Ovis aries: one gene and its partners. The protein of the gene in region 1 binds, or shares a complex with, the protein of each later gene. Links are inferred from orthologs where the notes say so. Each region holds a gene or a part of one and is shown on either strand. Other genes may lie near its edges.

Evidence for each region. Proteins that work in one complex are often made in the same cells at the same time.
Region 2: the proteins of UBE2E2 (region 1) and DET1 are in contact, whole or in part, in a cryo-EM structure (PDB 9BJZ), measured with the Homo sapiens proteins. The link is inferred for Ovis aries from reciprocal best matches to the Homo sapiens genes UBE2E2 and DET1. Residues at the interface, in NP_001357154.1 of Homo sapiens: Ala77, Gly78, Pro79, Lys80, Gly81, Arg88, Ser89, Thr90, Gly101, Val103, Phe105, Phe123, Arg124, Thr125, Arg126, Ser134, Gln135, Gly136, Gln194, Trp195, Arg198, Tyr199, Ala200, Thr201; in NP_001137546.1 of Homo sapiens: Arg258, Phe259, Tyr261, Asp264, Thr267, Val268, Phe272, Glu274, Asp289, Pro290, Phe291, Ile292, His297, Arg298, Leu300, Val301, Trp304, Arg305, Phe319, Phe320, Gln321, Phe323, Asp324, Arg327.
Region 3: the proteins of UBE2E2 (region 1) and RLIM are in contact, whole or in part, in a crystal structure (PDB 6W9A), measured with the Homo sapiens proteins. The link is inferred for Ovis aries from reciprocal best matches to the Homo sapiens genes UBE2E2 and RLIM. Residues at the interface, in NP_001357154.1 of Homo sapiens: Lys52, Thr55, Lys58, Arg59, Lys62, Pro112, Asp113, Pro115, Phe116, Ile142, Asn146, Trp147, Ser148, Pro149, Ala150, Leu151, Thr152; in NP_057204.2 of Homo sapiens: Ser571, Val572, Cys573, Ile574, Thr575, Cys596, Arg599, Trp600, Pro608, Ile609, Arg611.

Annotation. Positions count from the first base shown.
Region 1 is NC_056079.1:41,733,978-41,741,429, forward strand, and holds part of UBE2E2 (ubiquitin-conjugating enzyme E2 E2), read right to left. Parts: intron 3,593-7,452; coding exon 3,460-3,592; intron 1-3,459.
Region 2 is NC_056071.1:18,916,891-18,924,342, forward strand, and holds part of DET1 (DET1 homolog), read right to left. Parts: intron 7,435-7,452; 5' UTR 7,425-7,434; coding exon 6,342-7,424; intron 2,178-6,341; coding exon 1,990-2,177; intron 1-1,989. UniProt on the Homo sapiens protein: Component of the E3 ubiquitin ligase DCX DET1-COP1 complex, which is required for ubiquitination and subsequent degradation of target proteins. The complex is involved in JUN ubiquitination and degradation.
Region 3 is NC_056080.1:66,760,915-66,768,366, forward strand, and holds part of RLIM (E3 ubiquitin-protein ligase RLIM), read right to left. Parts: intron 5,161-7,452; 5' UTR 5,137-5,160; coding exon 4,968-5,136; intron 4,106-4,967; coding exon 4,022-4,105; intron 2,567-4,021; coding exon 987-2,566; 3' UTR 1-986. UniProt on the Homo sapiens protein: E3 ubiquitin-protein ligase.

The sequences.
Region 1 (7,452 bases):
CCTGTCCGGCTTTCTGCAATCCGGTGGACTAGAGCCCGCCAGGTTCCCCTGTCCGTGGGATTCTGCAGGCAAGAAGGGTTGCCAAGCCCTCCTTCAGGGGATCTGCCTGACCCAGGGATCGAACCCTTGTCTCTTACATCTCCTGCATTGGCAGGCGGGTTCTTTACCACTAGCGCCACCTAAAACAAGACTTAACCCCAGATATGGGCTGTTGAGAGCACCAAGAGACTTGGAAGGACGGGCAGGGTACTTCCAAGTTATTAGTAAGTCAGGAGAAGGAAGCGGCAGCCACTCCAGGGTTCTTGCCTGGAGAATCCCAGGGAAGGGGGAGCCTGGTGGGCTGCCATCTATGGGGTCTCGAAGAGTCAGACACGACTGAGCGACTGCACTTTCACTTTTCACTTCCATGCATTGGAAAAGGACATGGCAACCCACTCCAGTGTTCTTGCCTGGAGAATCCCAGGGACAGGGGAGCCTGGTGGGCTATAGTCCATGGGGCCGCTAGGAGTCAGACACGACTGAAGCGACTTCACTTTTACTTTCCACTTTCATGCATTGGAGAAGGAAATAGCAGCCACTCCAGGGTTCTTGCCTGGAGAATCCCAGGGACGGGGGAGCCTGGTGGGCTGCCGTCTACGGGGTCGCACAGGGTCGGATACGACTGACCGACTTAGCAGCAGCAGCAAGTCTGTCTCAGTGAAAAGCTTTCAAGACACGCGCCAACTTTCCCCCTTCAAGTCATACTTCTGTCCACAAAATCTGACTTCTAAAACTGACAAGTTAGCTGGTGACAATTTCTTTTAAAATTTCCTACGGGTTTCTACTACATGTGCACTTAAATGATGATTCAATACCCAAAGTTTGATTTTCCTTTGTCATCACGGATTGTCTAAGCAGATTTATCCGCTAGAGGGATTTAATTTTTTTCTGGCAGTCTTCTTGACAGGTTCCAGTTCAGCTGTTTGCTTTGAACACTCCCAGGAAAGGGAAGCCCCTTCTCAGAGGTAGAGCTATTCAGAAGCAGGCTGTCCCGCGATGGGTCAGGTCTTCCCCCCAGGGAATAGAAGTCTGCCTCCCTGTGACTGACGCCCGCCCCTTCTATTTTTGTCCCATCCAGTCACCCAGAAGCCAGTCTAACCCAACCCACACCATGGACATCAAAGGACAGCTATCACATTCCTCCCAGGACCTACTTTTCCTAGTAAACATCTCCAGGGTAACTATGTATAATTCAGTGGAAAGTACATGGTCCCCGGAGGCCAAGTTCAATAGATTCCTGATTGCTTATTATTAGAAACCCTCTCTAAGCCTCATATAAGTTCTCTCCTCTGTGAAAGGGAATATCCCAGTCTTACTAGGGTGTTTGGAGGAGGGGCGGCTTGGCCCGCAGCTGCCCACTGCAGAGCTTGAGCCGGTGGAGACACTGCAGCATGCCAGCTCTTTCCCTCCCCAGCTTACTCCTGCGTGCCCTCCTAAAGACGAAGAGCTCGGAAGTGGATGAGGCGTTGACGGCACTGCACGACGGGCTCAGAGTTCCAGAGACTGTGCTCCTGAGAGTATCTGCTTAAGGTCTCAGGACCCTGCAGTTCCCACAGAACTGTGCTCACTCAGAAGCCCACACATTATTATTTATATGGAAACAGAGCAAGTCTCCATTTCCTGTCCCATAGCAGGACTCGCTCTGATTTCCAATGACACGCCCCCCACTGAGCTGTTTCCATTCCATCCTGTTGGTTTTGGCCCATCCTCGGGGCCCATCAGAGACACCTTTTCAGAAATGGGACTGTCGGACCTACCCGCTTTCCCTCCTTGCTTTGTTTAATCGACACACTTCTGTCCTGCAGAAGCTGGAAATGCCCACGCTTTTTCTGAGATGTATGTTTCATAAAGCAGACTCCATCAGGCTCCCGAGCAGCACAACTGCCTCATCCGAGCCCCTGGCTCTCCTGCCTGTCGGCATCTCTGTTACTGAAGGGCCTGCCCGAGACAGGCCCTCGTGTCCCCGGCAGAGCGACAGGTACGCAGACGACTCGGGGGCTGGTGCAAAGAAGAGAAGGCCGCCCGATCCCCACCCCTTCAGAGGAAATAAAGGTCAGCTGTACCGCGGCTTCATCACTGCAACTGACCAAACGCAGCCCTGGGGGGCCCGGGGCCGCCAGCTCTGGCATCCTGGATAAGATGTCCTGTGTGTGGCTTCAGTCCTGACAGTGTAGGATATGCTGGGCAAGTTAGCTAGTTTCTCTGTGCGTGGCTCTCCTATTTGGTAAAATGACAGTCATTACTTCTCGATTTGACACCAAAATAACAGCCAAGTCTCAGTGGAAAGGAAGGAAGAGAAGAAAAATAGAAGGGGGCATGGGAGGCAGGGAGGGGACCCCCGGACATCACGGGGAAGGTCAAGGCCGAGCTTTGCTTTTTAAAGTGTTTACTCCAACCCACAATGTTCAGAAGTGAAGCCGGGTCAAATGAGAATTCCGTCTTGGTGGCCAACAGAGGCAGCGTTCTCTGGGTCTTTGCATTTCCAACGTGGAGAATGCCTGCTATACTTAGAACAGATAACCAGCAAGGACCTCCTGCAGAGCACAAGGAGCTCTGCTCACTATTCTGTGCTAACCTGTATGGGACAAGAACTTGCAAACGCGTAGACACAAGTGTGTGGATACCTGGATCGCCTTGCTGCACGCCAGAAACCAACACCATGCTGTGGGCCAGCTGTGCTCCGGCCTAAGACAAAACCTCTTCAGAAAGGGCATGGACTCAGAGTCGTCACACGTGTGACTCACGTGCAGCAGAAAGTAACGTGAAGAATGCTTAAAGGAAATAATAGCACCCTGAATGAATTTCATCACCCACGTCCTGACAACGCTGGACTCTCAGACTTTCTTTAGCCGTTTATGTACGACTTTTCATCAGCCCATCATTTTTATCAATGGACAAATACACATTCTCCTTTACTGAATCTTCCTGACACGATCGTTCAGTCTCTTCGCCTAATGTGGGTGCACACACCTTCGTCTGATGCGTGCGCACCTCCTGGGGGCAGCTGAGCTGCGTAGGCACCACGGCTCGGGGCTCACAGGCGGCACCCAGGCCGGCTCCTGGAGGAGCTCCCTCAGCCCAGGCCACGCCTGGGTCTCCTGGCCCCGGAGCTGGCGCCAGCCCATCCTGTTTCCTACTTCCATCCGTTAACAGGCTGTCTGACGTCACCTTAAAACATACACCACAAAAACGGCAATACGAGAAAGGATGAGAAGGAGCAATGAGGTGTGCGTCAAAGGTCGGGGTGAGGGAATAAACAACAATTTTTCCATTTACATACAATCAGTCCTGGGAAGTTGTCTATGCTAACAGAACAGACATGCATCCCGAGGTGTGCGTACTGAAGAATGTGGGTATATATATACATATAAAAAAGCGATAATACACATAGCTGAAAATGGATGAAGACGTCATACTGACCTTGGGGGGTTTAAACGGATAGTCAGGTGAAAAGGTTATGTCAAGAAAGAACACCCCTCCTTCATAGACAGATCCTGGGGGTCCCAATATAGTTGACCTCCATTCATAAATGTTGTCTCCTTTGGGTCCAGCACTGGAATAAGACATACAAATGAAATGTGCTTAGAGATGATAACAAAGCTTGGAATTGTAAAAATATCTATTTATGATAACAAATTCAGCCATTCCATAGAAAACACACCAAAGTTAATAGGTTAATTCCAAATGAGGATTCACGTGTCAATATCGACAGTATTCTATAAATGAAATATGCTGGTATCACTAAATTATACAGAACCAAGAAGTTCCGTTTTGCTATTCATAAGCTTAAACCTATGAAACAAAAGATTCCAAGGACCACAGACCAGAAGCAAAATTTTTAAATTAATTTTTACTGGAGCAAAATGTTTAATCAAGCATACAATTATTTCTGAGACTCTGAAAGGGTGGCATAAGGTCAAAGAGACAAATTTTCAAAGCTAGAAGGAATGCAAAAGAAAAAAAATAGTCTAATGCTTTTGTAAACTAAAAGCAGCAGGGAGGTTGATGGAGACCAGGAAATGGTCATCATTCACAAGGCTCAGCCCAAGTATCACATCTGCATCTTCTTTTCTCACTCCACCGAGAGTCCCTGCTAATGTGCCCAGCGCCCCGTCCCACCAGGGGGGCTGTAGAAGACAGGGTGCAGCATTTTGTTTAGACCTGTGCTTTGAAACTGCCTGCTTTCCCGCCCCTCTCTGGAAGTCCTCTGAGGACCAGGTTCTGCCTTGTTCTTGGTACTCAGTAAATCAGAGTCGGCAGACGCTGCTGCTGGAGTAACAGCCAAGCGAGGGAAGCCACGCGGCTACTAGCGGCAAACCTGTGCTCCCCCGCTGCAGAGAAACTCACGGGCGAAAAGAAGACCCACACGAGCCAACTGAACTGTCCCCGTTCTCCCAGAGTAACAGAAGGCAAAGCGAGATCATAGTTAAGCCCTCCAGCGTTCTTCCTGCCACACCAACCTCACAGCACACCAGCCAGAAATCCCCTCACACCCTGCAGCAAAGCGGGCAGTCCTGTTACGGTGCTTGGGAAGATTTTATTGCCCACAAAGATTTGTCTTCTTTCATACTGTGAAATTAGTTTCGTATCTACAACAACTTCATTGTTGGGCAGGAGACCAAAACAGCATGCGTCATTATCTATGACTATGGATGAGAATACATCAATACACCAGGGAGCAGACAGCCTCCTCAATAAATGGCGCTGGAAAAACTGGACACCGACACGCAAGAATCAGACCAGACTTTCTCACACTATATACACCATTACACTCACAAGGGATTAAGAGCTAAATGTAAGCCCCAAGCCCATAAAAATCCGAGAAGAAAACAAACGCAGTACACTCTTTGACGTCTGTCTCAGCAACATTTTGGGGATGTCTCTCAGGCTAGGGGAACAAAAGCGAAAATGAACAAATAGGGCTGCTGCTGCTGCGTCGCTCCCGTCGTGTCCGACTCTGTGCGACCCCAGAGACGGCAGCCCACCAGGCTCCCCCGTCCCTGGGATTCTCCAGGCAAGAACGCTGGAGTGGGTTGCCATTGCCTCCTCCAGCGCATGAAAGTGAAAAGCGAAAGTGAAGTCGCTCTACGTCAAACTAGCTTTTGCAAGAGAAGGAAACTATCTCTGAAATGAAATGGCAGCCTACTGAATGGGAGAAGGTATTTGCAAATAACAAATTCATTAAGGGGACAATATCCAGAGAACACGAAGAATTCATACATCTCAACATAAAAAAACATACAACCTATTAAGAAGTGGGCAAGGGACCTAAACAGACATTTCTCCAAAGAAGACATCCCATGGCCAACAAGCTCAGGAAAAGCCGCTCAACATCACTGATCACAGAATGCAAATCAAAACCACAATGGGTATCGTCTCAGGCCCGTCACAGCGGCAGTCATCAGAAAGACAGCAACCAACAGGTGCTGACAGGGATGTGAAGAGAGAAAGGGAGCCTCCTGCACTCCTGGCGGGAATGTGAACTGGTGCCGCCGCTGTGGAAAAGTGTGGAGAGTCCTCAGGAAACTGAAGGTAGAGTGGCCGTGCAATCCGGCGAGCAGACACGCAGACAGTGATGCGGAAAGAATATGCGTCCCAGCGTTCACTGCGGCGTCGCTGACGGCGGCCAGGGCACAAAAGCGACCTGAGTGCCCGTCAGGAGACGAATGGATGAGGAACACGTGGCGTCGTGGTTTATATATGCATATGCATTACGTCTACAACACACACACATGTATATGCATCACGTCTATGACACGCATGTATGCACATCACGTCTATGACATGTATGTACGTGCATGTCTGACACGTATGTATATGCACCACGTCTATGACACGCATGTATATGCATCACGTCTATGACACGCATGTATTCGCATCACGTCTATGACATGTATGTGTGCATCACGCCTATGACACATATGTATGTACATGTCTGACACGTATGTATATGCATCACGTCTATGACACGTATGTATATTCACTGCGCTGTGTCTGTGAGATATGTATACATCTGCTGCTAAGTCGCTTCAGTCATGTCCGACTCTGTGCGGCCTGACAGACGGCAGCCCACCAGGCTCCCCCGTCTCTGGGATTCTCCAGGCAAGAACACTGGAGTGGGCTGCCATTTCCTTCTCCAATGCATGAAAGTGAAAAGTGAAAGTGAAGTCGCTCAGTCGTGTCTGACTCCTAGCGACCCCATGGACTGTAGCCCACCAGGCTCCTCCATCAATGGGATTTTCCAAGCAAGAGTACTGGAGTGGGGTGCCATTGCCTTCTCCACATATATAAGCATTGCACTATATCTATGACATGCGTTTCCCTGGCGGCTCAGGCTGTAAAGAATCTGCCTGCACTGTGGGAGACCCAGGTTTGGTCCCTGGGTTGGGAAAATCCCCTGGAGAAAGGAATGGCTCTCCACTCCAGTATTCCTGCCTGGAGAATTCCATGGACAGAGAAGCCTGGTGGGCTACAGTCCATGGGGTCACAAAGAGTCAGACACGACTGAGCAACTAACATTTCACTTCACTTCATCTATGACATATATATACACATATGTTGGCCACTGTAAGCAATGCTGCAGTGAACACTGGGATGCATATTCTTCTACTGTTTTCATTTCTTTGGATACATACCCAGAAGATGTGCATATATATAAATGATAATATATGGGGCTTCCCAGGTGGCACTAGCAGTAAAGAACCTGCCCGCAACGAATGAGACCTAAGAGACGTGGGTTCGATCCCTAGGTCAGGAAGATCTCCTGGAAGAAGGCATGGTAACCCACTCCAATATTCTTGCCTGGAGAATTCCATGGACAGAGGAGCCTGGCAGGGTATAGTCCATGGGATCACAAAGAGTCAGACATGACTGAAGTGACTTAGTACACAGCACATATATAATACTATCATATATCATATAAAAATAAATGTATCAAATACAGATGTGGAATGTGTGTATATGTGTGTGTGTATATATATGTGTGTATATATATGTATATATATGTGTGTGTGTGTGTGTATATATGTGTGTATATATATGTATATATATGTGTGTGTATATATATATGTGTGTGTATATATATATACATATATAATATTACTGAGCCATAAAAATGGCAATCTCGCTGTTCGGGGCAGCACAGATGACCTCGCGGGCACGACGCGCAAGGAAACAGGTCGGACGCAGAAAGACAAACGCCACAGGACCTCACCGACATGCGGCATCTCGGAAACAAAGCCAAAGAACACGTGCACGGAAACAGGACCGGCTCACACACAGAGAACAGACAGGCGGTCGCCAAACGGGAGGGAGGGTAGAGAGGGGGCGGGGCTTAAGCGGGACAAACCTGCAGCGGCACAATACATGAGCCACAGGGAGGAAACGCACAGCGTGGGAAATACAGCCGGCAAT
Region 2 (7,452 bases), on another chromosome or scaffold:
CATGAAGCGAGAATGTTTATTTTCTCTTCCTACAATTTCACTTAATTATGGGTACACTGTGAAATAAATTTTCAGAAAACACAGCCTCCTCTAATTCCTGACGATATTCATTCAACAAATGCCTAATGAGCTCCTCCCTAACGGCAGACACTGGCCGAGGTGCTGTGGGTATGGCGATGTATATATATAACAGATAAACACCCCTGCCCTCGTGGAGCTTGGACCTTCTGGTGATCTCTGTGATATTTTAACTGTACCCAGCTTTTGCTACCAGTTGATAATAATCTACTTAATTTTAAATGACAAAAATTCATTTCAAAATGAAAAAAGCAAAACCTGATCCATATTTTGCTTCCAAAAATCCTTCTATACTGAAGAGAGATGCCAGTCAGGCTGAAAATGTGTGTGAACCAGAAAAAATAAAAGGGCATGTTTACTCGTCCGAAAATCAATATCCACTTATTTTCAATCGTGTACTGTCCTTCTACAGGAATACGATGCCAGTGAATGAGATAGCCGCTTTGCCCATTTCCCCCTGCAGCAGTAATGCTTACTCTGATTCATCCATTCTGATCTGATCTGTACTGGAACCTAAAGCAGCTATTTTCTATAACTGGCAAGGTATGTGGAACTTGATGAAACACTGACTGACTTCAGCAGGGTTGCAGCCAGGCCTTTGGTCCAAAACAACTAGTCATTTCACAATAATATACTCAGATGATTATGAGAAGCTCTGGTTCTTAGCAGGTGGGTATCAACTGAGGGTGACTTAGGTGTTCTGAGAAGGGCCTCCAATGGTCTCTTCTTCAGGTTGGTCAGTTTCCCTAGGGAATTAACTCTAATCTCCTGCCTGAAGAGTATATGCCTGGATACCATATCTGATAAGAGGAATAGGAGTCTACCCCATCAGTATATCAATTTTCACTTAATTCTTGGTTTAAGCATGATGAGTCTCATTTCTATTCTCAGCCATGTTTCATGAACTTGAAACCAGAGCCTGCATGGTTCGATTTCTCCAGAGAATAAACCTCTAGCCTTTTGCTGACCTGAGGAAGAGACAGTCATTTGGCAGTTGGAGGCTTAAGGAAAGGAACTAGAGTATCTGACTATTCCCTTTAAGAATGTCATCTAGGGGATTCCCTGGCAGTCCAGTGGTTAAAACTCTACGCTTCTACCACAGGGGACACAGGTTTGATCCCTGGTCAGGGAACTAAGATGCCACAAGCTTCAAAGCACAGCAAAAATAAAAAAGAATGTCATCCAATCCTCCAGAGGTATACAGGACCTCCAGTTTCTTGACTTTTTCCAGAGTTCTCTGGTGCAAGACAGTTTACTTCTTGATGGGCAAGCTCTGTAGTCTTCTTTTGTTCTTTGAGGTATGTCAAGTTAGTTATCAGCCATCCACTGGCTCTTCAGCTTCTAAAACTCTATTGATATCTCCTCCTCACTCTCTTTGCTCTTGTAGGTTTACATCTCTTCATCCTTTACTGTCACTTTAAGTAGGGTCTTGGGATACAGCAGAGATAAATGCATGTGTTCAATGCACATGTTTAACCAAAAGTTATAAAATTACTTCCTTATTCATTCAAAGTTGGTGATGGACAGGGCCGCTGCAGTCCATGGGGTTGCAAAGAGTCGGACACAATTGAACGACTGAACCCAACTGCACTGATTCATTCAAAAATTATTTTAAGTGCTTGACAGTGAATCACTGCAGATACAGCAATAAACTAAACAAAGACACAGTCTCTATCTCTCTGCAGGTAACAGACAGTCTAGGAGGAATCGCAGACAACACACAAGTAATCGCTCGGGTGCTAAGAGAGAGACATTTAGGATGACACAGGAGGTTACAACAGGCAGACCGACCCAAGGCCGGGTGGGCAGAAAGAACATGGGAAGGTTTCCCGAAGTAAACAACTACTGGCTCCACACCAACACATTTTCTAGAGAAAAATTAAGCTTGTTAAGTCCAGGGGAGCAGCTTACCGGCGCTGGATCTGCCGTGCAAAATTGTTGCTGGAAGCTGAGCAGGGAAACTGGACTTCACTATGCAGGGTAGCATTCCGGAAGAGATCACAGAAGTTCTCAAAGAGCTCCAAAAGCTCATCTGACGTGTTCTCAAACACAGCAATCACCTCTGTTGTTACCATGTTGTACACCACAAAGAAAGATGCCTGCAGAAGGAGAGAGAGACCCAAGGGACAGCTGAGCATAAGACCTTACCTAGCATATTCACCATTCGGCTGAAAACTCAAACTCCCCAAGTAAAACAAGCAAACACCTCCACTCTGGCACTACAGCAGCAACATGATGCCTAGAGGTTCTGGAAGAGGAGGAAGCCTCAGTGGGATTGAGCCATCAAGGGCCTCAGAGCTGCCTGATTCCCCACTGTACCTGTGCTGCTGGAATTACTGAGTTGTTCAGCATATATGTATAAAAGGGCTTTCAATCTTTCATTTCAAACTGTGTGCAAATTTAATATGTTTCCTTTCAAGTGCTTATTCCCTACTTATGCCCCAACCCATTCTGAGATTAAAAACACTTTTCTAAAATGCCAGATTTAATTTTCCTTCCTGCTGAGAAAGTGATTTGCAGTCAGGAGCTGCCTGTTGGCAAATTATTTTCTCTTGTATGTGTATAGCAGAAAGTTCAATTTGGGGGCACTTCCTTTTCTTTCTTAGTATTTCTAACATGCAGAGAGACGTCTTAAGCACACCATGTCCACCTGGGCAAGTTGTAACCAAGCGGGGGACTGCTGCTGGACAAATGAAAAAGTCAGAGAAGCGTTTTCATTTCTTTCTTCATAAATGTTCTTTTAGCCAAGAGCGTTTGTAACACATGTTGGACATTTGTAGCAATACAGATCAGAGGGGGAAACATGAAAAGCATTCAGATGCTCTGGGTGGCAGAGTTACTGCTTTCTCTGAATGGGTCCCTAGGTGCCTGCTCCTCTTCTCTGAACCTCCAGTGTTCTGCTCAGCTTAACACGGAAGCACGAGGTACCCCAAGTTTTTGTCACAGTGAATGTGGCAGTGTGGGTCTTCCACCAGGACTCTAGAAGTTTCCAGAACGCTAGGATTAGTATTCTGCCTCCTAGGATTAAACCTGAATCTTCATTACCAATTTTTGGAGACATCTGGCCCACCTGTTTCACCAGTAATTAGTCCTTCCCAGAGCTTATATTACATGACTTTTGCGGTCACCTGGAAATTAAATTTAGCTGTAAATTAAAGAGGCTGGAGGGTAATCTGAGAATAATACCCATAATATTAGCAAGGCTTTGTGTTGAGGTACACTTTTTACTCATTAACCTTATTGGAACCTATCAAATTAAACTGGGGAAGGAGACTGGAGGAAAACGAGGGGAGAGTTTGGGTTTAAAGTTACAAATTCTGTAAGCAAAGCACAGAGCCCTAGCAATGTTGCTGGCTATGACTTACTGTAGCTACCGGACATAAGGAGGTCACGTTTTAGTGAAGGAGAAAAGGATAATCTCGAATGCGGCAGTCACAGACAATATACTCCCTCCAAAACAAAAAGGTAATTATAGCTCAAACCTAAATACAAGATGGACTCATGTCATTTCTATAAACCTGGACGACACTTGGATCACATGAGGGCTTCACCAGGATCCATCGTGACTGTGTGAACACAGAATTACACAAATATTTACTAACATTCCCACCAGGGCACACTGGGAAATACACGACAGAAGGGTACAGAAGTCAAAGGCTCTACCAACACCCTCTCATGACGCCTGAGATGAACTGGACGCTCACCCTCAATGGTGACTTCATCATTAATAAGGAAGTAAAAAAATTCAGAAAAAAAAAATCTCTAACGAATTTATTACTCAGATCTCAATGGGCTTCCCTGATGTCACTGGAAAGAATCTGCTTTCCAATGGAGGATATGCAGGTTGGATCACTGGGCCAGGAAGATCTCTTGGAGAAGAAAATAACAACTCACTCTGGTATTCTTGCCTGGGAAATCCCATGGACAAAGGAGCCTGGCAGGCTACAGTCCATAGGGTTGCAAAGAGTGGGACATGACTTAGTAACTAAACCACCACCATTTTAGTCACCTCCCCTCCCCTACCCTTGTTTTTGTTGTTTTTTTTTTTAGAATACACAAGGTATGATTCAGAAGAAAAATATTAGAAACCATTTTTCCACTGATGGTTGGTAAGGTCTCAGGAGAAAATTTTCTGTAGTTTCTCTTAAGGGCAGAATCAGCTACAAGTCAATGAGAGAAACCAGACTCAGCTGACGGCAGTTTACTGGTTTGTTCTGTTGTACACTTCCAAACTCGTATATAAGGAGACAATGTGGAAATAGGAGAATGATGGGGGGTGGGGTGTTGGTTCCAAACTGGGAAAGGAATACGTAAAGGCTGTATATTGCCACCTTGCTCTTATACGCAGAGTACAACATGTGAAATGCCAGACTGGACGAAGCACAAGTTTGAATCAAGATTGCAGGGAGAAAAATCAATAACCTCAGATATGTAGATGACATCACCCTTAAGGCAGAAAGCAAAGAGCCTCTTGATGAAAGTGAAAGAGGAGAGTGAAAAAGCTGGCTTAAAACTCAAACTTCAGAAAACGAAGATCATGGCATCCAGTCCCATCACTTCATGGCAAACAGTGGAAACACTGAGAGACTTTATTTTATTGGGCTCCAAAATCACTGCAGATGGTGACTGCAGCCATGAAATTAAAAGATACTTGATCTTTGGAAGAAAAGCTATGACAAACTTAGACAGCATATTAAAAAACAGAGACATGACTTCACTGACAAAGGTCCATTTAGTCAAAGCTATGGTTTTTCCCGTAGTCATGTATGGTTGTGAGAGTTGGACCATAAAGAAAACTGATCACTGAAAAACTGATGCTTTTGAACTGTGGTGCTGGAGAAGGCTCTTGAAAGTCCCTTGGACTGCAAGGAGATCAAACCAGTCAATCCTAAATGAAATCAGTCCTGAGTATTCACTGGAAGGACTGACGCTGAAGCTTCAATACTCTGGCCACCTGATGTGAAAAACTGACTCATTGGAAAAGACCCTGTTGCTGGGAAAGATTGAAGGCAAGAGGAGAAAGTGTCGACAGAGGGTGAGATGGTTGGATGGCACCACCAACTTGATGGACATGAGTTTGAGCAAGCTCCGGGAGTTAGTGATGGACAGGGAAGTCTGGCATGCTGCAGTCCACGGGGTTGCAAAGAGTCAGACATGACTGAGTAACTGAACTGAACTGTAAAGAAGTTAGGTCTCTCTTGGTCAACAATAAAGTAGACAGCTCCTCAAAGGTAAATGTCCACATCACCCTGAGGTTCAGCATGGTGTTTCAACCCAACCATCTTCACGGTTTCTATACTCTTAACCCAACACCTTATTCCTATTTGTGAAATGCGTCTTCCCCATCAACATCTTTCACCCAAACTAAAAAACCCTCAGAACCTGCAGTCCTGGTGATTCACTGGTAGATCAAAAACTTTTACTTCCTTCCCATCTTATCACTGCTCCACAGTCTATGTTCCAGCATGTGGGCAAGGTCAGAGTAAAGTCATAGAGCTTAACTCTATTAAATGAACTGTCCCATTGGTTACAATCTAAAGATTTTGTGAGGAAGTATACTGAGTTCATTTCAGTAAGAAAAAGACTAGTTACAATCTAAAGATATTGTGAGAAAGTATACTGACATCATTTAAACAAGAAAAAAGACTAGACTTTTGGAAGATTTTCCTTTTTTGTATGATGGGTTCATTCTCATTGCCAGAACTAAAACAGACCAATAAGTACAATCTTCCACAAAACCAAGGCACTATCCACAGGGAGTCAAATCTTAACCTTAGAGCATCTGGGCTTCCATCTCCAGGGTACTGAAAATGCTCTACAGAAGAATTAGGGTAGGGAACCTCCCTGGTGATCCAGTGGTTAAGAAACTGCCTTCCAATGCAAGGGACATAGATTTGGTCCTTGGTCAGGGAATGAAGATCCCACATGCTGCAGGGCAAGCAGGATGGCCCTGCTTGCTGCAGCAAAGACCCAGCGCAGCCCCCAAAAGAGTAAAGTTGCAAAAATATATATATTAAAAAAAAGAGAAATAGGACAATATTCACAGGGTTGACTACCTATATGTCAATGGCTTGAGATTTAGCTTCCATTTGTCCAAACAAATACATATGGCCAGAGATAAGTGGAGCTGTTCTAAGTTCGGCCCTAGGGGAGCAAAAATTCAAGATCCACATAAAAGGTGTTGCTTCCGAGAGGCTGGGAACAGGCAGAAGAAGCCTCCCGCGAGGTGGCGGGAGGGCGACAGGCGGGGCGGCAGCTCCTACCTGCGACGGGTCTGTGACCCGCAGAGTCACCACGTCCTCGCTGGTGTACTTGATGAACAGGTGGTTCTCATCCAGAAGCTGCATCTTCCACATGCGCAGCTGCCGCAGCTGGTCAAAATACTGAAAGAAGCGCCTCTTGGCCACGGCGCTTCCGTCCTGCTCTGCCCGGCGCCACAGGTACACCAGCAGCCGGTGTTTCAGGGAGTTGATGAAGGGGTCCCTGAACGGGTTGGCCATGCCTGTCTGGCTGTCCCGCTGCACCTCGGGGAACATGGCCGACACGGTGAGCAGGTCGTCCTCGTAGCAGAAGCGGCCGATGGTCCTCACGTCGATGAAGGTGCCCTCGGGGGTCACCTGGAAGACGTGGATGGTCTGCTGCTGCACCGACAGGATGGCCAGGATGTTCTTATACAGGTACAGCCCCTGGTTGTGCGACAGGACCACCTTGTCACACTTGAAGGTGCGCGTGTCACACAGGCGGCCGGTGTGGAGGTCAACGATGTGGAGGGAGTAGTCCTCCAGGGGGGACCGGGGGTTGGGGGTCACGGACTCGCTGTTGCGATACACCTCGTAGAAGGGGGGGTGCGGCTCGTCCGGCAGGTAGGCGGCGGAGCCCACGATGACGCAGCGGCAGTCGTCCGTGAAGAGGCTGCACTCCCGGTTCAGGTGCTCGCCGTTGGCCGCGACGCTGGTGATGTGCAGCAGGACAAAGAAGCGCTCGAAGAGCCGGCCGCGGATGTTGACGGACCGCTGGTCGTTGCCGTTGGCCAGAATCTCCCCCTCGTAGCCCTGCAGGAGGTCCTCGGCGGCCTGGCAGCCCTGGTACTCGTAGATTTCCAGAGAGGTCTGGTCGGAAGAGAAAGCGATGAAGTAGCGTCCGTCGGGGGAGAACTTTCGCAAGAAGCAAGGTGGCTTCTCCACATTGACGACGGTGAAGTTGGGGAAGACGTTCTGGTGGAAGACCCGGACCTGGTGCCAGTGGGTGCCTGCCTTGCCCGAGCTGATCCGCCGGCGCTCCAGGCGGTGAATGACATTTTGGTTTTGGATTCTTCGAGGTTTGATGGTGGAAACATGATGATCCATTATCACATCTCTGCATGGGAAAGTAAAA
Region 3 (7,452 bases), on another chromosome or scaffold:
CCTCTTTCATTTCCTGCCTAAATCCATACTGTCCTTTCCTTTGCAGGTCACAGTAGCTGTTCACATACATTAAATATTATAGATATGTTCTGCTCTTACATCTACACACTTACAAAAGCAGCTTTGTACTTTGTTTGGTGTATGTGTGTGTGTGTGTGTGTTTGTTTTTTTTTTTTTTTACTATGTTGGCTCACAAAAAGCAGTTTTTTTCATTTCTAAGCATGGTACTTTACAATTTTTAATGCATTAATACAACAGTGCATTGGAAAAAGTACTGAGCCTCTACAAAATAGCTTTACATTTTTAAACAAATGAATGTGATTTTTTCACTTACACAAGCATAGGCCTTTTTTTTAATATTTCCACAAGATAAATATCTCAATTAAACTATAAGCTCACTCTACAGTGTGCCACAGTGATGGGCTTAGAAGACAGTTATACACTTAGAAGATCCTAATCTTAGTGTTATTTACACTGATAAGTCCAATATCACCTTGTCTGAAAGGTGAACAAATGATATTCAGAATGTAGCTGAATGTGTGCCAACTAATAACTGGGAATGGTATAGCTTTAAGCAGTCACTTAGGCAACATGTACTGTAACTGAGTCTAAACTGGGAATTTCCTTCACCCCTCTTTCCTATGGCATATGAAACTTTAAAGATCAATATGAAACAGGTAAGAGTCATTGCTAAGGCAGACCTTTTAAGATAACAAAGGAGAAACTGACAAGTATATGATAAATCATCAGTAATAACAATTACTGATACTGAAGTCAGATTTTTATGTCCTAACATGTTGCTTTTAAATATTTCCTTTTATTTTGGAACAGAAATTAGAGAAAGGACAATGACTCATTCAGAAAGCAATGACTCAATTCTGGTTGCTACTTTACATTTAAGCACCACTCAAAAAGTGGACAGAAAGCAAGTGATTCCTGTTTGCCCATCACTATACCAGCTACGTAGCTGAGAGTTCAGACCTTAATCACACAACACTTTCTCTGTTACCAGAAGCTAAGACTGCTCTACGACAAATAGGACAAGTAGAATTCTCAGATAACCAGCGATCGATGCAGTGGACATGGTACTCATGGGAACAAGGTAGTTTACGAAGTTTGTTGCCTTCTGTGTATTCTGTAATGCAAACACTACAGGTTTTTAATGCATCATTTTCACCAAAACTTCTCATTGCCAAGTTGTCAATCTGTTCTTTGGTGAGTCCTCTAGGTTGGTCATCATCATCCTCATTTAAGAGGAAAAACTGAGCGAGACTAAGGAAGGGCAGAGAGCCACTTTCATCAAATGTTACTGGGGCCCTGTGTCGACCCTCTCGCCTGGCACCTGATGAGCCTGATGATGAGCTTCCTTCATTACTGCCTTCAAATACCTCTGAGCTAGTCTCTGAACTTTCACCATTGGAACTGGAACTAGGACTCGAACTGGAACTTGAACCAGAACTGCTACTACCACCAGAACCCCCTCTTCCATTCCGTGACTCTGACCTTTCCATATTTCGACTCGAGACTGAGCCACTAGGCTCTGAATCACTATCACTGTACATAAAGTAGCTTAACTCGCCAAAACCAGTCATTATCTGCCTTAACATGGTCTGAATTGCAACAGATGTAGTCTCACTTAAACCAGTATTTAAGATTCTACGAATTGGAATTCTGATGGTACTGACATAGGTTCTCACACCTGCTCGCTCAGAACGTGAAAACGTACGCCTAAAACCTCCTCGTTCACTTTCATAAGTGACGGTGTTGTTTGGCGTCTGAGACCTTGACCGAGTTCTGCTAGCTATGCTATCTCTCTGCCGATATTCTCCAGGACGAACTCTTCTTACTTGAAGATCAAGGACTATGGTTGGAGGTCTCTGGCCTGATCCTGTAGATTCACCATTGCCAGTTGTGTCTGAAGATCCTGCTCCTTGTGAGGCATTTCTTGTTCCAGAAGCTGCAAAAAGACCTCTAGTTAGTAAGTCAGGTCCACTTATTTGCTGTCTTAATGTCACGTGGTGCCGGGTTCTAGAACTTCCTTCAGTCTCATTTACCAAAGGATGCTCAAAAGTCTGAGATGAGATACTATGATGAGATCTTCGTGGAATTTCACTCATTGGATGTAGAGGTGATCTACTTCTTTCAGCTCTTGCTCGGGTTCTCCGATGGTCTGGGCTCCTACTTCTTGCCCTTCTCTGACCTCTGGTAGGTGGGGCTTCTGTTAATGCTTCAGTTGAACTTCGTTCTGATCTGGGTGGCCTTGCAGATGTTGATTCAGATCGTGGATTTTCCATTTGTCTTTGGCTGTTGTTGTCCATACTTTCTCCACTAGAACGTCTTGTAGATGGTTCATTTTCATTCTCTGGATTTTGGCTCCCATTATTACGGTTAACATTGATCTCTAAACTGAATCTGAAATCACCACTGTTTGGATTAGTCCGACTCACTGCTCTCCAAGATTGGTTTCCTCTTTGCCCACTTCTTGTCGTATTTCCAGTTTGTCTGACTGAGTTAAGCCAGTCTATTATAGAGTCACCATTAGATACATCATCTGAAGAGTCTCCACCTGTTTTTTAAACAGGGAGGGGAGAAAAGGAACTATTAAAAATAAGAAATTATACTCTGAAACTTCATATTATTAACAGAAAAACATTCTGAACAAATTTCAATTTACAGATTTTTTTAAACTATACTGCACTGATTGGCAAGTAAAAGCAGGAAACTTTCAATTCCATTTTAAAACAGCAAGCGAATCCTAGAGAAATTTAAATCATTTTTTTAAAAAGGGAATTGGGAGGAAGTCTATTTTTAGCATTGTATACAGAGCCTAGTGTACCACTGGGGACTGTCAGAAGACATTTTTTTCAGTCCACTGTCAAAACACTAACATAATCAAATAAGGTAAAACACCAGTTGCGGTACAGGGCTAGTATTTTAGTTCAAATTGCAGTTTCTTGGTTAGATTTTTATTAGCCTACAACATTTCTTTGGGCTCTTAAGTGCCTTGGATAATACAAGACATTTAAAAACTATAGGACTGCTTTAGACATTGCAAAAATATAAACAAGATTACTTCTTCATGTTACCAAGATTTTAAATTAACATGAAATTAGAGATCAGAACAAGTAAAGAGTCTGAACCTAGCATAGTACATATACAGCACATTCAACAACCTAATTCTTGTCATATTTCACCCTGAAGGAGAAACACCAGACCTGAGTAAGAACAAGATTTCTTAACAGTGTGACTATTTACATTTTGAACCAAATAATTCTTTGTTGTGGGGGCTGTGCTGTGCATTTTAGGATGTTTAGCAGCATCCCTCGGAGAAGGCGATGGCATCCCACTCCATCCCATGGACAGAGGAGCCTGGCAGGCTGCAGTCCATGGGGTTGCAAAGAGTCGGACACGACTGAGCGACTTCACTTTCACTTTTCACTTTCATGCATTGGAGAAGGAAATGGCAACCCACTCCAATGTTCTTGCCTGGAGAATCCCAGGGACAGGGGAGCCTGGTGGGCTGCCATCTATGGGGTCACACAGAGTCGGACACGACTGAAGTGACTTAGCAGCAGCAGCAGCAGCATCCCTTACCTCCACCCACTAGAGCAAACAGCAAACTCCCAACCAAAAATGTCTCCAGACATTATACCCAACTGAGAACCATCAGATTAGAGACTGCAACCTTTCTGCTGGTGAGGAAGTCAGGTTTATAAGGAAGGACTAATTCAGTGGGTACAGGGAAATTTCAATGAAGGTGGAAAATAAAGAAAAATGATCACATTTAAGACAGGACATTCCTATATCCCAATTAACACTCAAAATAATCCCACAGGTGAAGCAGGAAAAAAAAAGTTAACATTCTCACCAAATATCAAGAAAATGCCAGTTCTTTTTATGAGCAGTTACTTAACACCAAATTAATTTGTGCTACTGATTTGGATTATCTTTGGCTGACATTTATCATAGGAAGCTCCTTATCCATTTCATCCTTTACACCCCTCTCCCAAGAAAAACTTACCTCTATTTTCATCTGAGTTTTGTGGTGGTGGGCCCTCTTTAATTTGTTGTAGTCTCCTCAGCAACTCTTCCTCAGTACTTTCACCTGAGAACAGTTTAAAATATTTGCAAAATTATAAATAAAATCCAATGACTTATCCATCGGAGATGACAACCAAAGAGTAGGAACCTGAGTAAAATTCACCTATTTGAGAGCATGACATTACAACTTTTATTTATTTGTATTCCTTTCCAGTTTACAATATGCTTTTGCATACAATATCTCATTCTTCAAAAATGCAACTCTGGGAGATAGATATTATCTGCATTTTAAGACAAAGAAACTCAGAGTGAGTGAGCTGATTCGTTAATATATAGTAGGGCAAGAATGCCAACTCTGGCATTCTGACTCAAGTCTGGTACTCCTGGCTCAAAATACACTCCATCTCATAATAACCACGCTAACACCTTACCTTTTAAAATTTAAGCAATCACTCAAATGTTAATAGAATTAAATAGAAATGAGGAGGAAGTGATATAATGAATTTTAACTAGAATCAAATCGGACCTAATGAGACAAAAAAGAATAACCAAGCACAAATTTCTGAATAACTGACTATTTTACCCAAGGTCCTAAGAACCAAAGTTCCCATTAGCTCTTCCAGACCACTGTCTAGTAGAGTTAAATAAAGATAAATAACAAAAAGATTGTTCAGCTCCACTCTTTTCAATTCAGCTTACTATAAATTCATAATATAATTCCTCACTAAAAATCCTGACAAAGGATAATTCCAAATATGAGTGAATAATATCAAGTAATAAGTACAGCAGTAAATTTCATTCTATATCCCTGGTATTAAAATCATACTTCACAATGGTAAACAAAACATTTTTTTAAAAAACAGCTGTTTTTTTAAAGACCAGCAATTTATATATCTATATAAATCTTTAAACTACACATTGCATACCTGGGGTGCCTAGCAAATTGTTATCCCTCATAAGCCTATAATCTTCTTCACTGAGGTTATTTACAAATTGATAGAAAGCTTCTTCCCGATCCAATCGGTCCATCTGACTTCTGCGCTGTGCTGCAGACTGATCACCACTTCCTTTATCGTTACAATCTGAGCTTTCCATCTTGATGAACAAGTGGAAAATTATCTAAAAGGAGAAAGGAGATCACTCTTGAAAACAAAAGTCAGTATATCTTCTACATAACAGTTTTAATTGTGTGAAAATCCAGAATTCAGGTTGAGACATGAATTTTAAGACCTCATATATTCGAATGGAAACTTCCTAATACAAACACTGAAAAGCACTGTTATACTAGGAAAAGACTAGGTCAGGGATTGGCAAACTATGGCCCATAGACCAAACTTAGCCCTGGTGACTATTTTTTCTCCTTGAGATGGTTATTATACTTTTAAATGTTTTTCTAAGAGAATATTTTGTGATGTGTGAAAATTGTATGAGATCAAATAAATAAATTCTTAGCTACTTGTCCAGAGAAAAGTTTGGTTAGAGAAATACAGGTAAGAATTCAGCAGCGTAGCAAGAATTGAACGGTGTCTATTCAACAAGGTTAGACCCAAGCAGCTTACTGAATTCTTGGCACTGTAATTGCTTTTGTTTTTTCGTCCTCACAATGACACTGTGCACAAACACTGTTGTTGTTGTTGTTATTCCTTTTTTTTACAGATGAAGAAACTAAAGTATAGAGGGGTTATATAACTTAATCAGGGTTACACAACTAACAAGTAACAGGGCCAGAAGCTGAATCCGGACAATCTGAATTCAGGTTTCTCTATGCTCTACTGCCTCTCACAGAGATATGACATGTAGAATAGAAGTTCTAAAAATGCTAATGGTCAAGCCCACTTTCTCCATTTAATACTATGAGTGTGCACTGGTAATTTAGAAAAATGTTACAGTGTAAGCATGGCACTTGAAATGCTGTCAAGTTATAATTCCATCACTGTGACTTGCAGTGCACAGACCACCAGTGCAAAGCAGTGACAGTGCCACATAGTCTGTCACAACTACTCAACTCTGCCATTATAGGAAGAAAGCAGCCCACAGACAATATGTAAATGAACGTGTACAGCTGTATTCCAGTAAAACTTGATGAACACTGAGTACCATCTCTAAAGGCACAGTGGACATGGATTATTTTATTAGAGCAGATGGCAAGTATTTTATTTATAATACAATGACACTGAAACTGTACCTGTGCTAAAATAATAAAATATACATTAATATTATTAGACTAAGCACTCATCATAGTATTTTCAATTCACAGGAAATCTATGGTCTGAAAAATTAGAAAATTTAAAACAAATATCACAAAATATTTCCTCACAAAAATAAAAAATGAAGCTTCAACCAGAGTTAAGTTTCTAGGTGGCTCATTTGTTGGCTAAGCAAGGAAAGACATTTATCAATGATATGTTAGCTAAATTTGTGTTTGACTGCAGAAGCTAAACAAATAGTCCACAGAAAATAAACTGGTTTAAGATTATTAGCCTTTTAATGAGAACAGTTGCTCAACAAGTGACGATACTGGGATATATCAATCATCAAGTGAAAAACAAGGAAGCAAATGAGTAGTCCCCTTTGGTTCTTGACGAGTTGACAAATATAACCGATACTATTCAGTTACTTATTCAAAGAGTCAAGTTATTTGAGGAGTTTGAAGTAACTAAAGAAGTAGTCTCTGAATAGTTTGCATGGAACAACTAACTACAGGTGATAACATTTTCAAAGAAGCTGAGAAACACTAATTCAGAACAACCTGAGGTGGAATCTGTGAAGATGTGTTACAACTGAAATGGTGGTTAAAAAAAAATATGCGTAGAGCAAAAATATATCAAGTTGGGCAAATTTACAATTAAAATCATACGCTTGTATATTGATTAGATAGCGTACTTGTATGTGTGAAGACATTTTCAGCAACGAAATATGTAAAATCTCATTTCAAATCAGATAACAGTCAATGGACATCTGCAAATGATTCTGATGATAAAGAATGTTTAGCCCCAATTAAGCAAAATGTTATCCTACCAAAAAGAATACCATTCTTCTCACTAGTAGACCTGTATTATAAAACATTGTACTCATTTATTATTACATCAAGAAAAACTCTGTGGAAATTTGGCTTCTCTCTTTTTATATAAATAACTATGTAATATATTCAATTCTGATCAGCAAAGTGAAAAAAAAATTACTATCTGGCCTTTTACGGAAAAAGTTTGTCAACCCCTACTCTGGATAGTACATAAAATTAGCCAAAACTTAATTGTCACTCACTATTTGTACAGCCCTAGGAAATATATATATAGAATATTCTTTTCCTTCCAACCGCAGATTGACTCAAGTTCACAATGACAAAAGTTAACTCAGAAACGTGAAAATCTGATTTGTGGAAAAGCAGTAATCTATGTTGGTACTAGGATT